Linked DNA regions of Drosophila melanogaster. The protein of the gene in region 1 interacts with the protein of each later gene in a pairwise test. Each region holds a gene or a part of one and is shown on either strand. Other genes may lie near its edges. The genes, in order: Lmpt, Ccp84Aa and synr.

Region 1 (4,732 bases):
TAGGTGCGGCAATCGCCCTTTCCAAAGGTTATGGCATTTTCATTGAACTTCACTTGGCTGCCTGTGGGAGTCGGGGATCCCGGGGATATCTATCCTCCAGCTCCGCAAATGCAGCGACTCGCGAGTGGCGATGGCAACAAAGAAATGAAGGCAGTTCATTGGCAGCACTGGCTGTTGACGCGTTGTCATCCGTCGAGCGGAAGTTCATTGCGAGTGAGCCGGAAATTTGTGGCATTCGGTTAAGGTTAGAGATTGCTAAAAATTGCTGCAGGTATTCGCAATTTGTTATTGATGTGCACAAACTGCTTTAGCTCGATTGAAAATATCCTTTATCCATTTATTTTGATTTTAAATAGATTGGGGGTGTAATATGCAAGTAAATAAATTTTTTTTATATGCGTGTTGATCGATTTTTAATTAGAAAATGTTGGATAAAGAAATTGCATTGTCTGTCGCCTTTCGGTGTTATTGTACAAAAAACCATGTTTAAATTTATTCAAAATAAATTTAAATTACCATCAGAAACACTTTCGCTTTCGTTGCGAAAAGCAAAATAAACATATGAATATATCAGAGCCCAGATGACCCATTTATTCATATAAATCTATCTATTTTTGCCACAATTTCTAATGACAATCAGATGATGAGAATAAACAAAAGAATACAAAAATAGTTTGGCTTTGTGGGGCAAAGAACACAATTATGCCGCGTTTGACAATAATTATACTGATTCTGAAAACGCAGAAGAGAACCACAGCGAAATCGGCGATAAAGAGCCTCTGAAAGCTGCTGGCAATGTTAGTGTCAGTGCCAAGACGAAATTTATGGCAAACATTTGTGTGCAATCCGCTCGGAGGCGGCGAAATGGGGCGTGGCGACCCTGGCCCCAGGCGCTGGCAATGCCAAAGAAAACTGATTTGCAAACACCAGGAACAGTAAAAGTCATGCCCATAAGAATTACGAATGCTAAAATATATTTTTCCCACTTTCGAGAATACCAAATTTTATTGGCAAAATAAACAAAAGAATTGGGCATTTTATAAACAAAATTGTATCTCAACATTGTACTCTTAAATGTTATTTTTTCTAAAATCGGAGATACGATGTGACCATTAATGCCAAATTAAGCATTTTTATGGAAATTGGCACCTTAGCTCTGTATATTATTGCAGCCAACTGTGCGTCTGAATAATATGTGTGGTATGCAGTATAGAAAGATCATGTTTTTCAGAAAATACTTGATTTTTTATTATTTTAAAATATCAAAAGAAACATTTTCTGATTAATTTTGATAAATTGAATTTTTAAACCTGAATAAAAGGATAGGAAAGAAAAGATCCCTAAATCTTGATACTTGCTTGAGATTAAAAAACTCTTCATTATGTTATCGAAATGACAGTTGCATTTGATTTTCCCTATCCGATTTATGGTCATGTCGCTAACTGTTCTCCCGCACGAAAACGGCGAGCAAAGCAGAAAGTGGCGAAAAGTGTTTTGTGGAAAACAGCAATCGAAGCATAGACCAAAAATAGTTCCCCCCAAACGAAAAGGGGGCGCGGCCGGCGGGGTGTCGACTAAACTGATTAGAAAATCGGCTTTGGCCAATTCCGATTGCTTTGGCATTTGACACGGAGGCAAGGCAGTGCAACAACGGCAGCGGACAGAAGCAGATACATTTGTGTTGCCAAATTGCCAGCGACAAAAGTCGGCGATGTCTTGTCAGCTCTACAGGCCTTTTGCTCTCATCGCTGGCCGTCAATTAGCGCCGTTTGCCATTTGAACGGATTCGGTTCTTGGCGGTTCTCTCGCCGCTGATTCACTTGTTCTCTAGAAATCGGGGGACCCATGGGCATTGGCTGGGGCATTAATCAGTTGCAAGACGATCGATTAGCGGAAAACAAGAGCTCGCCGCCCGAGCAACTGCATCCGCCTGGCGAGTCCGCCCATCTCCGATTCTTCTTGCTTCGCGCTCTCATAAATCGTCTCAAAACGTAGATAAATGAATATATATCGATGATTGGTTCAATGATTTGTGAGCGAAAGTGAAATAAATATTTTTCGAATTACCTAATCGGCTGGCCATTAACGTGAGTGGTGTGAATTTTCGAGTGCGTGGTGAATATATTTTATATAATACGTGTTAGCCGATTCGGTTCTCGTCGACACATACTCTCATTGCATCGGCGAACGTTGGAGGATTCGGATTCCGTTTCGATTCTGGTCATTACGCAATGGCCGCTGAGGAGACGGCGCTAACCGGCGTCGGCGAGCTACTATTCTCGCTGCTAATTGGATACCTAGGTGCCCTGGAATTCGCCTTTGTGGCGCGCCATCTATACCACTGGACTTTCCAACATCCCGGCGATTCTTCTGTAGATGCAGCAGCTGACGCAGAAGAATTGCCTCGCATGCGAGAGCGATTGGATAAGCAGATCAAGGAGGCGGCGGAAAGGGAAGCCCTGGCAGGAACCAATGTCATGCAGGATGGTGTCCTATATGTCAATGGAATACGAGTAGATCCTGCTGGAGATAAAAGACAAGCTTTGGCAGCCGAACTGGCACGTCAACAGCAAATTGAAGCCGATACGAGGCGTCAGCTGGCCGAAGCCGAGGCCAAGCTGGTAGAAGAAAGACTACGAGTCCAGAGGGAGAAAGAGGAATCGGAGGAGCAGCAGAGAAAGCTCGTAGAGGCGGAAAGACAGCGCGAAAGAGAGCAGGCGGAGAAAGAACTGCAGGAACAAAGAGAAGCCGAACGCAGACAGCTAGAAGCAGAAGAAAATCAGCGTAAACAGCGCGAAAACGAGGAGAAAGAACGCCTAGAAAACGAAAGAAGGCTGATAGATGCCGAACGGGAAAGGGAGGAGAATGAGCGAAGACTGCAAGAAGCTGAAGAGCAGCGCGAGCGAGAAGAAAGCGAAAGAAGAATCGTCGTGGCAGAGCGTCAGAGAGAGCAGGCCGAAGCCGAAAAGGAGCGAGCCGAACAACAAAGGATCCTGGCTGAAGCCGAGGCAGCGCAAGCCGAGCGTCGTCTCTTTGATGCCGAGATTCAGCGAGAGCGCGATCAAGCTGACGAAGAAGGGCAAGCACTGAGGGATGCGGAGATCGTAGAGCGTCTTCTGGCAGCAGAAAGAGAGCTCAGTCCAAGCGCTACAGAGAGCGAACTGGAGGAGGATGCTGCCATCGCAGAGCAGTCGCGTCGCCTGATCTCCAGCAGAACTGATCTGGAGCAAAAACAGCGAATGATTGAGGAAAACGCCAGACGCTTTCTTGAGGCAGAAGAGGAGATGGTAATGTTACAACAGCGCCAACTTCAAGCCTCACACAGCAAAGAGGAGGCAGACGAGTATGCTGGCATGGAACCCGTGGTGGAGGAGCTGTGTGTGAAGAAAGTGGCTCCACCCAGGTTTCAGGAGCCTCCAGAAGAACCCATGGTGCATAAAGTGAAAACTCAATTTGGTCAAGGAAGTGGTCCTGAAGACGCCTACTCAGCAAAGTCAAAAACACTCACCTTCCCTGGCGTATCGGATGAAGGATCCTCTCTTGAACCCAAAACTCCGTTCTCCATCCAGCAGTCGTCCTTCAGCACGCAGCCCTCTGATGAGGGCAACAGAATCGAAAGTGAACGCCCAGAACCTGAAGGAGAAGATCAGATACAGGAAGTCCAGTACACCGAGGACTACCTTCGTTCTCTAGATGGCATTAAGAATCGTCCTTTGATGCGAGAGGATGGTTCAGGGAGAAGAAGGGCTTTTAAGAAGCGACGATCCAGTGGAAGCTCGAACTCCTCGCGGGAATCGCGAGCCTCCCGCGACGAAGAACTAAAGATGTTCACCTCGCTAGAGGAGGAGGAGTTGCGCCACGGCGACCGAGAGGACTATAACCCCATCAAGTATACGAGCGAACCTACCCTGAGGGTTAAATCCCACCGACGTCACAAAAGGAGTCCAGCAAAGGATGTTAGACCAACGGCAGAGTCGACCACATCCTTAGAGATGCTCGGTGAGGAGAGCACAAATCCCTGGGGTGAGGTTGTGCCGGAGCATTATAAGGATACCGAGTTTTGGAAGCGGGAAAAAGCGCTCTCCATAGACGAGGAGGAAATCGAACTAGAAAGACCATCCAGGGGAGAGGATGTGGAGGAAGAAGCTACAAATGAGCCAAAATCGTCCTCCTTTGAAGAGGCCACTGAGGCACAAAACGAACAGGCAGTGGCTGCCCTAAAACAACAACTTTCCAAGGAGCAGTTGGTGAGTAAATGAATCTACAAGCCGAGGATCTATATCAATGATTTATTATGTGTGTGTTAGGACAAAGAAGCGGAGAAGGACAACCCGCAAGCAGTGGATACCAGCGACAGCAACAAATCCAATGTAAGTGCGTAGCACAGACACCTGGCATCATTTCTCACCCAATAATTTCGACCACAACCTAATCCACCAATCGCAGACACCACTGCCGCATAACTAACTGTCCTAACTGCTTTACCTCTTTGCTTTTCATATTGCTACTGCTCCCACATTCCGCTTGCTTTTCCGCTTCACCTTTCCCCCAAAAAGCTGCAAACCTCTATCGCAGCAGAGGAGCAATCAAGGGGTGGTTCACCTGGCTTGCGACGCAGTCCACGTATGGATGAAATGGAGCATTATCCGGAGCGCTGGTCCGCCAGCCAGGAGCAGCAGTCAGTGCAACAGCAGCCACCGCGAACAGCACCAGCCATCAATGTCCAGCAGCC
Region 2 (3,017 bases), on another chromosome or scaffold:
GCGCTCCTCCACCTGTCCCTTGTTGTCACCGGTTAGCTTGTCATCGACTCCGTAGGAGAAGCGGTACTGGGGGTGGGGGTCGTACTCCTCGGCGGCCTTGACCACGACCTTTTGGGCGACGGCCACGGGGGCGTGGGCGTAGGTGGCCACCGCTGGGGCAGCATGGTACACCTGTGGGGCGGCGATGGGAGCATAACCGGCGCTGGCCACGGCGACGAAGGCGAGGGCGAAGACAAACTAAATTCAAGAGCGTTAGATATCCAACCGGAATTTCGTATACAGTTGATCCCGGATTTCCATCGAGATGACTCACCTTGAAGGCCATGTTGCTAGGAGTGCTGATTGGTAGTTCTTTACAGAAGTGAACTGGATCTGCGAATGATACTTTTCTGTGTCCGATCGACAACTTTTATAGTAAATCAAGCTGCCAGCTCTGCTCTGCTTTGGCCCAATACGCCGACAGCACGTGTTATTTTCGCGGTGACAGCGAAATATATTAAATGCTTCTCGACTGCGATTGTTGTCGGGCAATAACTTGTACTTCCTGTTCGTGGCGCTAAGCTCAGTGGGTGTGCAAATGCTTGTGGCCACAGATTCTAAACCCGTCAGCACCGAAAGAGTGAAAGATCTTTGGGGAAAGGTTTGCGTAATACCGAAAGGGCTTTGCCGGCCGCAATGTGTGGCTAATTACTTTGTTATATAACGCTGTATAAGATCGCTTTAAGAAGATATACTGATCATATATTTTTTTCTTACAAAGCAAATCGCAAAATTTTGATTAGGTTTTTTTAAAGATTTTCGAATCTTTAGAGTTCACTGTGCAATCTGATTGATATTCTTTAAATACTCTATACATATATGATTATAATTATACGAACGGATTTGCAATCTTAAAGAGTTGAATGAACTTTACACTGTGCTGGATAAGAAAAAACTCTTGAAAAAAGATTAATATTTTTTGAAATTGGTTGACACTACAAAAACTGTGGTTCTAAAAACTAAAAGCTAAGTTGGGTCTGCGTTAGTGTCCTAAGGAACACAACTACTTAGCTACATCTAAATACCTAACATTCTATTTACACTCAGATAATAATTTATCAGATACACATTTAAGAGTTTGGCATTTATGGGTCTTAGAACATAAACGTTAAAAATATATTACACAATGCATTATTTTTGTACAATATATAGAAAATCGCTGCTTCATTCAAAATAAATGCCCTTTTGCGAAGTCTGTGGGAATCAAGGCCACCCACCAGACATCCACGATCCCATCCTTAAAATATCTTGGATAATCGAAACGCTATTAGCAGATGCAATCCATTCCCAACTACCAATTTTAACGTGGGCACCGCGCGAATCCGCCGAATCCTTTCTAAATAATTGGACTGCATCTCGCATTCGCAAATCCCTTCTCCTCTCTTGGTTCTCTGCCGGCGTCTCTGCCGACTTTGCCGTTGACTTCGCAGAGCGGTGACTTCGCGCTAATTTGGAGCATGATATTCAGAAGGCCAAGCGTAAGCACCTTGCTTCACCTGAGCAGAAACTGCAAGCGGGAGCTATAAAACCGCTGGCCGGCCAGAAACCGTATCATTCAGCCATCAGCACCGTTTCCGCAAAGAACTAACCCACGAATCCAAAAACCCTATAAAATGGCATTCAAGGTGAGTCCTGTGGTATCCCACCAGAACCCGTTTCTCTAACGAATATGTTCCCCAGTTTGTCTTCGCCCTCGCCTTCGTCGCCGTGGCCAGCGCCGGTTATGCCCCCATCGCCGCCCCACAGGTGTACCACGCTGCCCCAGCGGTGGCCACCTACGCCCACGCCCCCGTGGCCGTCGCCCAGAAGGTCGTGGTCAAGGCCGCCGAGGAGTACGACCCCCACCCCCAGTACCGCTTCTCCTACGGAGTCGATGACAAGCTAACCGGTGACAACAAGGGACAGGTGGAGGAGCGCGATGGAGATGTGGTACGCGGAGAGTACTCCCTGATCGACGCTGACGGCTACAAGAGGATCGTCCAGTACACCGCCGATCCCATCAACGGATTCAACGCCGTTGTCAACCGTGAGCCCCTGGTCAAGGCCGTCGCCGTTGCCCCCGTTGTGAAGACCGTCGCCGCTCCCGTTGCCCAATACGCCGCCCCTGCTGTCGCCCACTACGCTGCTCCCGCTGTGGTCAAGACCGTGGCTCCAGTTGCCCACTACGCTGCTCCTGCTGTGGTCAAGACTGTGGCCCCAGTGGCTCACTATGCTGCCCCCGCTGCATATGCCACCTATGCTGCTCCCACCCACTACGCCGCCCCCGCTGTTGCCTACCACCCCTGAGAACTGACATTCCACATTGCCCAGCTCTTTATTGTTATAGTTTTACGAACGACTTCTATATATATAAAAATATATTTCACATTTAAAAAGGTTATATCACTGTATCCTATCCAAAGGATATGTATTTCCTGGGGCTCAATTCGATTCACGAAGCAATACAATTTATTGTAATTACTTTTGCTTCGTGAGGGCTAAATTAGAGTGGCTGTGTGGCCAATTAATTGAATTAGGCTGCGACATTGAAATTCCAAATTCCAAAATTCCAAAGTTTTAAAGTCAAATTGAATTTTTTCTTTCAATCGCTCCATTCCATTGAGATATCTATGATGTTCGATTCGGGTCTGGACGTTGGCCAATCCTATCAACGAATAATAAATCATAATCAGATCGGTGTGAAATATTCATGTGTGCTTATAAAAGCAATTAACGGATATATAATATAAACGATTTTTTCGTTTGCCGGATTTCGATTTGATTTTGCTAAATGGAACTTCAGTGACCGGCTTTCCCATTCCCCTCTTTGCTCGTACCTATTACCATTAATTTTTTGTATTTAAACAATAGAATAGACTGACTACAAATAGTACACTTCCAAAAAACTCGTATAGAATCATACTAATTAGAATTATTAAATAGAAATGATGTATCTATGAAACTTGCTGTGATTGTTCAAACTTTTCAAAATGTTCAAG
Region 3 (4,202 bases), on another chromosome or scaffold:
TGCCCCAACGACAACTACTCCTAGATCCACAACAACAACTACCACAAGTCGCCCAACGACAACTACTCCTAGATCCACAACAACAACTACCACAAGTCGCCCAACGACAACTACTCCTAGATCCACAACAACACCTTGCACAAGTCGCCCAACCACAACTACTCCTAGATCCACAACAACAACTACCACAAGTCGCCCAACGACAACTACTCCTAGATCCACAACAACACCTTGTCCAACTACAACACCATCTGCAAGTCCTACAAGAACAACAACAACCCGTCGTCCTTGCCCTTGCCATCCCCAGCCTCCTTACCAGATTCCTCCTTGGTCATGGTGGTATCCGAACCCGACCTACCCCAATCCCGTGTGGCCCTGGCAACCTAACCCAGTCGTTCCTCAATGGCCACAGATGCCCGGATATCCAAATCAGTGGCCACAATTACCAGGTTATCCCCAGCAATTACCACCGCCGTTGCCATCACCTCAGTGGCCGTGGTCTTGGCCAAAACCACCAGTAGTTCAACCTGGCGACTGTGAAAACATATGCGAAAACCTACTGAAGGGAGTAAAATATCAAGAAGATCTCATCAGAAGGTGCTTGTGCACACGAACATAATCCTTTAAAAAAGAATCACGTAATTGTTTTATTAAAATGTTGTCTATTTAAAAAAATAACTTAAAACAAAGTTTTGATGGTTAAAAATATCGAACGGGTATGGTATGGATGTAGGTTTGATGATATTGAATGGCAAGTCTATCCTTCAGAAGTGGGAGGAAGGATTATGGATGTCACAATGGCGCATGCGCCTATATGGTTTTTGGATTCCCATGTTTTGCTTAACACTTTCGTCCCTGAGAAGCTCAGAAAGCTTGGGCGCCATTCATCAACAAGTTTGCATTCGGACTTCAGCACTCTAATCGACACTTGACTACATTATTACTTATTTAAACGCAATCATTTGACCCATTATTTTCCGACGCCTTTGCGTTTGGTTGCACTGCATTGCTCATGCGACATATGGTCGCACTATATGTTTGGAGCACACATTCGGACAAGTTTAATGACCAATTGCCAAGGGATTGGAGAACTCACTGCTCTTCGAATTAGGTTAGCACATTAGCTGGTTAAGGACAAACGTGGATTGAAGTTAGGATGGGGAGAGAAACAGGAAAACTTAACGAGTTCTAGCATATGATAATGTGTACAGCCATAAACTTATAGCTAACATCGTAATCCGTGCACAAGCTATTAAAAACTTCAAGAAGATATGTCCCTAAATTTTTCCAATAGTAATAAATATATAACCAAATTTACTCTCTCTGTAGGGCATACTACAATCCTAATAAGCTATAAACACTCCAGAGCAGAGCCTCTAATTTGCTGGTAATTTATCAAAATCTAGATTATAATCCTGCTGATGGATTATGTTTCGGGTCGATTAGTACCCCAGTTATAGGACTACTAGAGTTCGTCCTTCGTTCAGCTGAGCTTGCACATTTCCTACACAATAAGCAGATGTTAATGGCTCCCTTCTTTGTTGTTTTTGTTAACTTGTTAATACAAATACACCGTGTGCCAATTCACAAATCCAACAAGGTATAGTGGACATGCCAACAAAAAAGCTAGCAAAGCAAATAACACATTGTTGACAAACAGCGGGCTATTGGGGTGAACCTTCAAAAATCTATTGAACAAAAGTATTACTCGTCATATGTATTGTAGCATTTTAATTAAGGAAACATGTATTTTAATCAATATAACTTAAACTTAAAGATAGTAATGGTTGCACATGTCGTATGCGCAATTTTCATGAAGAGTGGTCCGCTCTAAAGGACACATACGTGGTAACAAGGGGGCTACGCTGGCCCCTGTCCCCACCTCCCGAAATGGTTTGTGGGTGGATTTGGTGTGGCCCTGTCCAATGGCTAGCGCGCAAAAATAATTTTTGTTATTGTGTTTTCCCTCATAAGTGGACATGACGGACCCAACGAAAGCTCATTCAGCGCTGGACAGGCGAACTGGAAAGGTCTAAGACGGAAGATGTCATCGCCGGCAGAGCGGGCGAACTTCGTGCAGCACTTCGGACAGACAACCTGAGTGATGGGCTGTGGCTCCTCCATGGATACGCAGACGAATCCTGTCGTCACGGAGGTCAGCTCGGAAATGCAACCTCGCCAGAATGGCGCCTCTGGAGTAATAGCACTTGAACAAGTCGTCTTACCTTTGCCATAATCAATACCTCTTCCATTTCGTCATCAGAATGTGGTCGAGCAATATGTGCGCCTGGACGAGCAGATCAGCAAGCTGGAGGGCACATGTCCTGGTCCTCGAATGGCCACCGCCGAGGCCTGGGTGGAGCACATTCAGAGCAAGCACGAGGCGATGCTGGGACTCGATGGCATGGGAGTGTCTCCTTTGCGCGAGAGGGAATGGGAAACCGAGGAGGCCCTGCCCATTCCAGCTTACACAATGGGGGGGCGGCAGGGCGACCCAATTGTGGCCAACACGCCCACCAAGGACCTGGCCCAGGTAAATGGCCTGCCATTAGTGAATGTGATGAACTTCCCTCAAGTATATTATTACCATTCGACTTTAGCTTGCCTACAACCTGGGCGTAATTGGCGATGCCCGCAAGGCTTCCATGCACGAGGATTTCTTCGCCAACCTGAGCGAGTCCGCCATGTATTTGCTTAGCATTCGTTACTACGGCGAGATGTTGGAACACACTAAGGTGCGTCTAAAGACTCTGGCCGAGAGCTATGCAGAGCTGAACGAGCTGTACGTAAAGCAAGACGGGATTATAGCGTATATAAGCGGGGGAACGTACATGACTCGGCTGGAGGAGAGCATTGATGAGCAGCTTGAGACGGCAAGAGATACAAGGGATAAGCTGGGCAGCGCACTGGAGCAGTGGCGCATCTGTGGATTACTACTTAGAGCAGCCGCGAATTCCTCGACGCAGGCATTAAAACAATGGCGACAGCTTGGACGGATAATGTGGGTAAATTAATTCCCCACTTAGAACTTGTTGACATGTTATTTCTCGTTCAGAGATCCCAAGCAAAAGCTTCAGTGGGCGTTGGACTGTCGAAGTCTGTTACACGCCTCCACGATATCCCTAGAGGCGGCTCAGCTGGCTCTGCCGCACGTGGAACTCAAGTACATGAGTCATCGGCAAGTCCTAGCCGTCAAGCACTGCAACACCTACCTAATCACGGATATAGCAAACAAAGCGCGGTAAGTTAATATATAGATTTCTCTAGAATCTTCTACAAAGGGAAACGAATCCCTTTTAGGTACGAGCACACCAGTCGGGTCTTCACCAGTTACGAATCAAACATGTCCAAAACCTGCACGTGGCTCTACGAAACCTTTAACAGCACGCTGCGCCCAGACTACGACAGGGCGGAGGAAACTGTATGCGGGCTGGCCAAGACGCTCCGGGATCATCGCGAGGAGGTCTTCAACACGGTGCGCAAGTGACATTAAACTTATTGCTCAATTATATGGGTATTTTGTACATTACTTTAATAAACAGTAGGCATAACATTAGTACCAATAGCTCTTGACTGGCGTGCGTTCCTCTTTGATGCCCATTTCCTCCATAATGTCCATCTCGAATGTGGACAACTTGGGCTGAAAGGTGATCTCGCCCACAACAGCGCCTGAAAAGGACAGACTTGTATGACTAGGAACATATTGAAATGCGATAATAGCCCATACCTGGCGTATCCTTCTCCCTTTCGATATAGGCGTTTGGTGTTTTATAATCGTGCGTCTGGTTGTTCGTCTCCGGGATGGGTATGATTCGGCCAGATCGCAAGGACACCCGCACTTTCTCGCCCTCCTCCGTGAAACGCCACTCAAAGTCGGTGCCCTGAAGATCCGATGGGTCAACCAGACGAATGTCCTTGGTGACGTGCAAAGGTGCCTCGGACTTGATAATGATACCGGGAAACTCCTTCTCACCGCCAACCTTGCGATAGTGCCAGTTCAGGCCCTCTACAATTACCCAATTGCGCTCGGGTATAACCTGGGTGACAATTCCCTGCTTTCCTTTGTCTTTACCCACAAGGACTTCGATACGATCGCCGCGGAAAAAGCTCCAGTCCTCTGAAAAGGATATACAACCATGTTTTATTAGGTTTTAGAGGTCAAGGCTTCTTATTCCTTACCAATTGGTTCCACTAGCACCTTG

What was found.
Region 2: the proteins of Lmpt (region 1) and Ccp84Aa interact in a two-hybrid assay, tested with the Drosophila melanogaster proteins (2 studies listed by BioGRID).
Region 3: the proteins of Lmpt (region 1) and synr interact in a two-hybrid assay, tested with the Drosophila melanogaster proteins (2 studies listed by BioGRID).

What each region holds. Positions count from the first base shown.
Region 1 is NT_037436.4:16,897,822-16,902,553, forward strand, and holds the start of Lmpt (limpet), read left to right. Parts: upstream 1-1,593; 5' UTR 1,594-2,231; coding exon 2,232-4,247; intron 4,248-4,307; coding exon 4,308-4,370; intron 4,371-4,556; coding exon 4,557-4,732.
Region 2 is NT_033777.3:6,702,495-6,705,511, forward strand, and holds Ccp84Aa (Ccp84Aa), read left to right. Parts: upstream 1-1,589; 5' UTR 1,590-1,652; coding exon 1,653-1,664; intron 1,665-1,719; coding exon 1,720-2,325; 3' UTR 2,326-2,409; downstream 2,410-3,017. Other genes in the region: Ccp84Ab, read right to left, coding at 1-237, 314-325.
Region 3 is NT_033779.5:4,940,748-4,944,949, forward strand, and holds synr (sayonara), read left to right. Parts: upstream 1-1,994; 5' UTR 1,995-2,104; coding exon 2,105-2,197; intron 2,198-2,263; coding exon 2,264-2,533; intron 2,534-2,600; coding exon 2,601-3,001; intron 3,002-3,055; coding exon 3,056-3,241; intron 3,242-3,300; coding exon 3,301-3,487; 3' UTR 3,488-3,553; downstream 3,554-4,202. Other genes in the region: Sgs1 (salivary gland secretion 1), read left to right, coding at 1-619; mRpL24 (mitochondrial ribosomal protein L24), read right to left, coding at 3,554-3,669, 3,728-4,117, 4,180-4,202.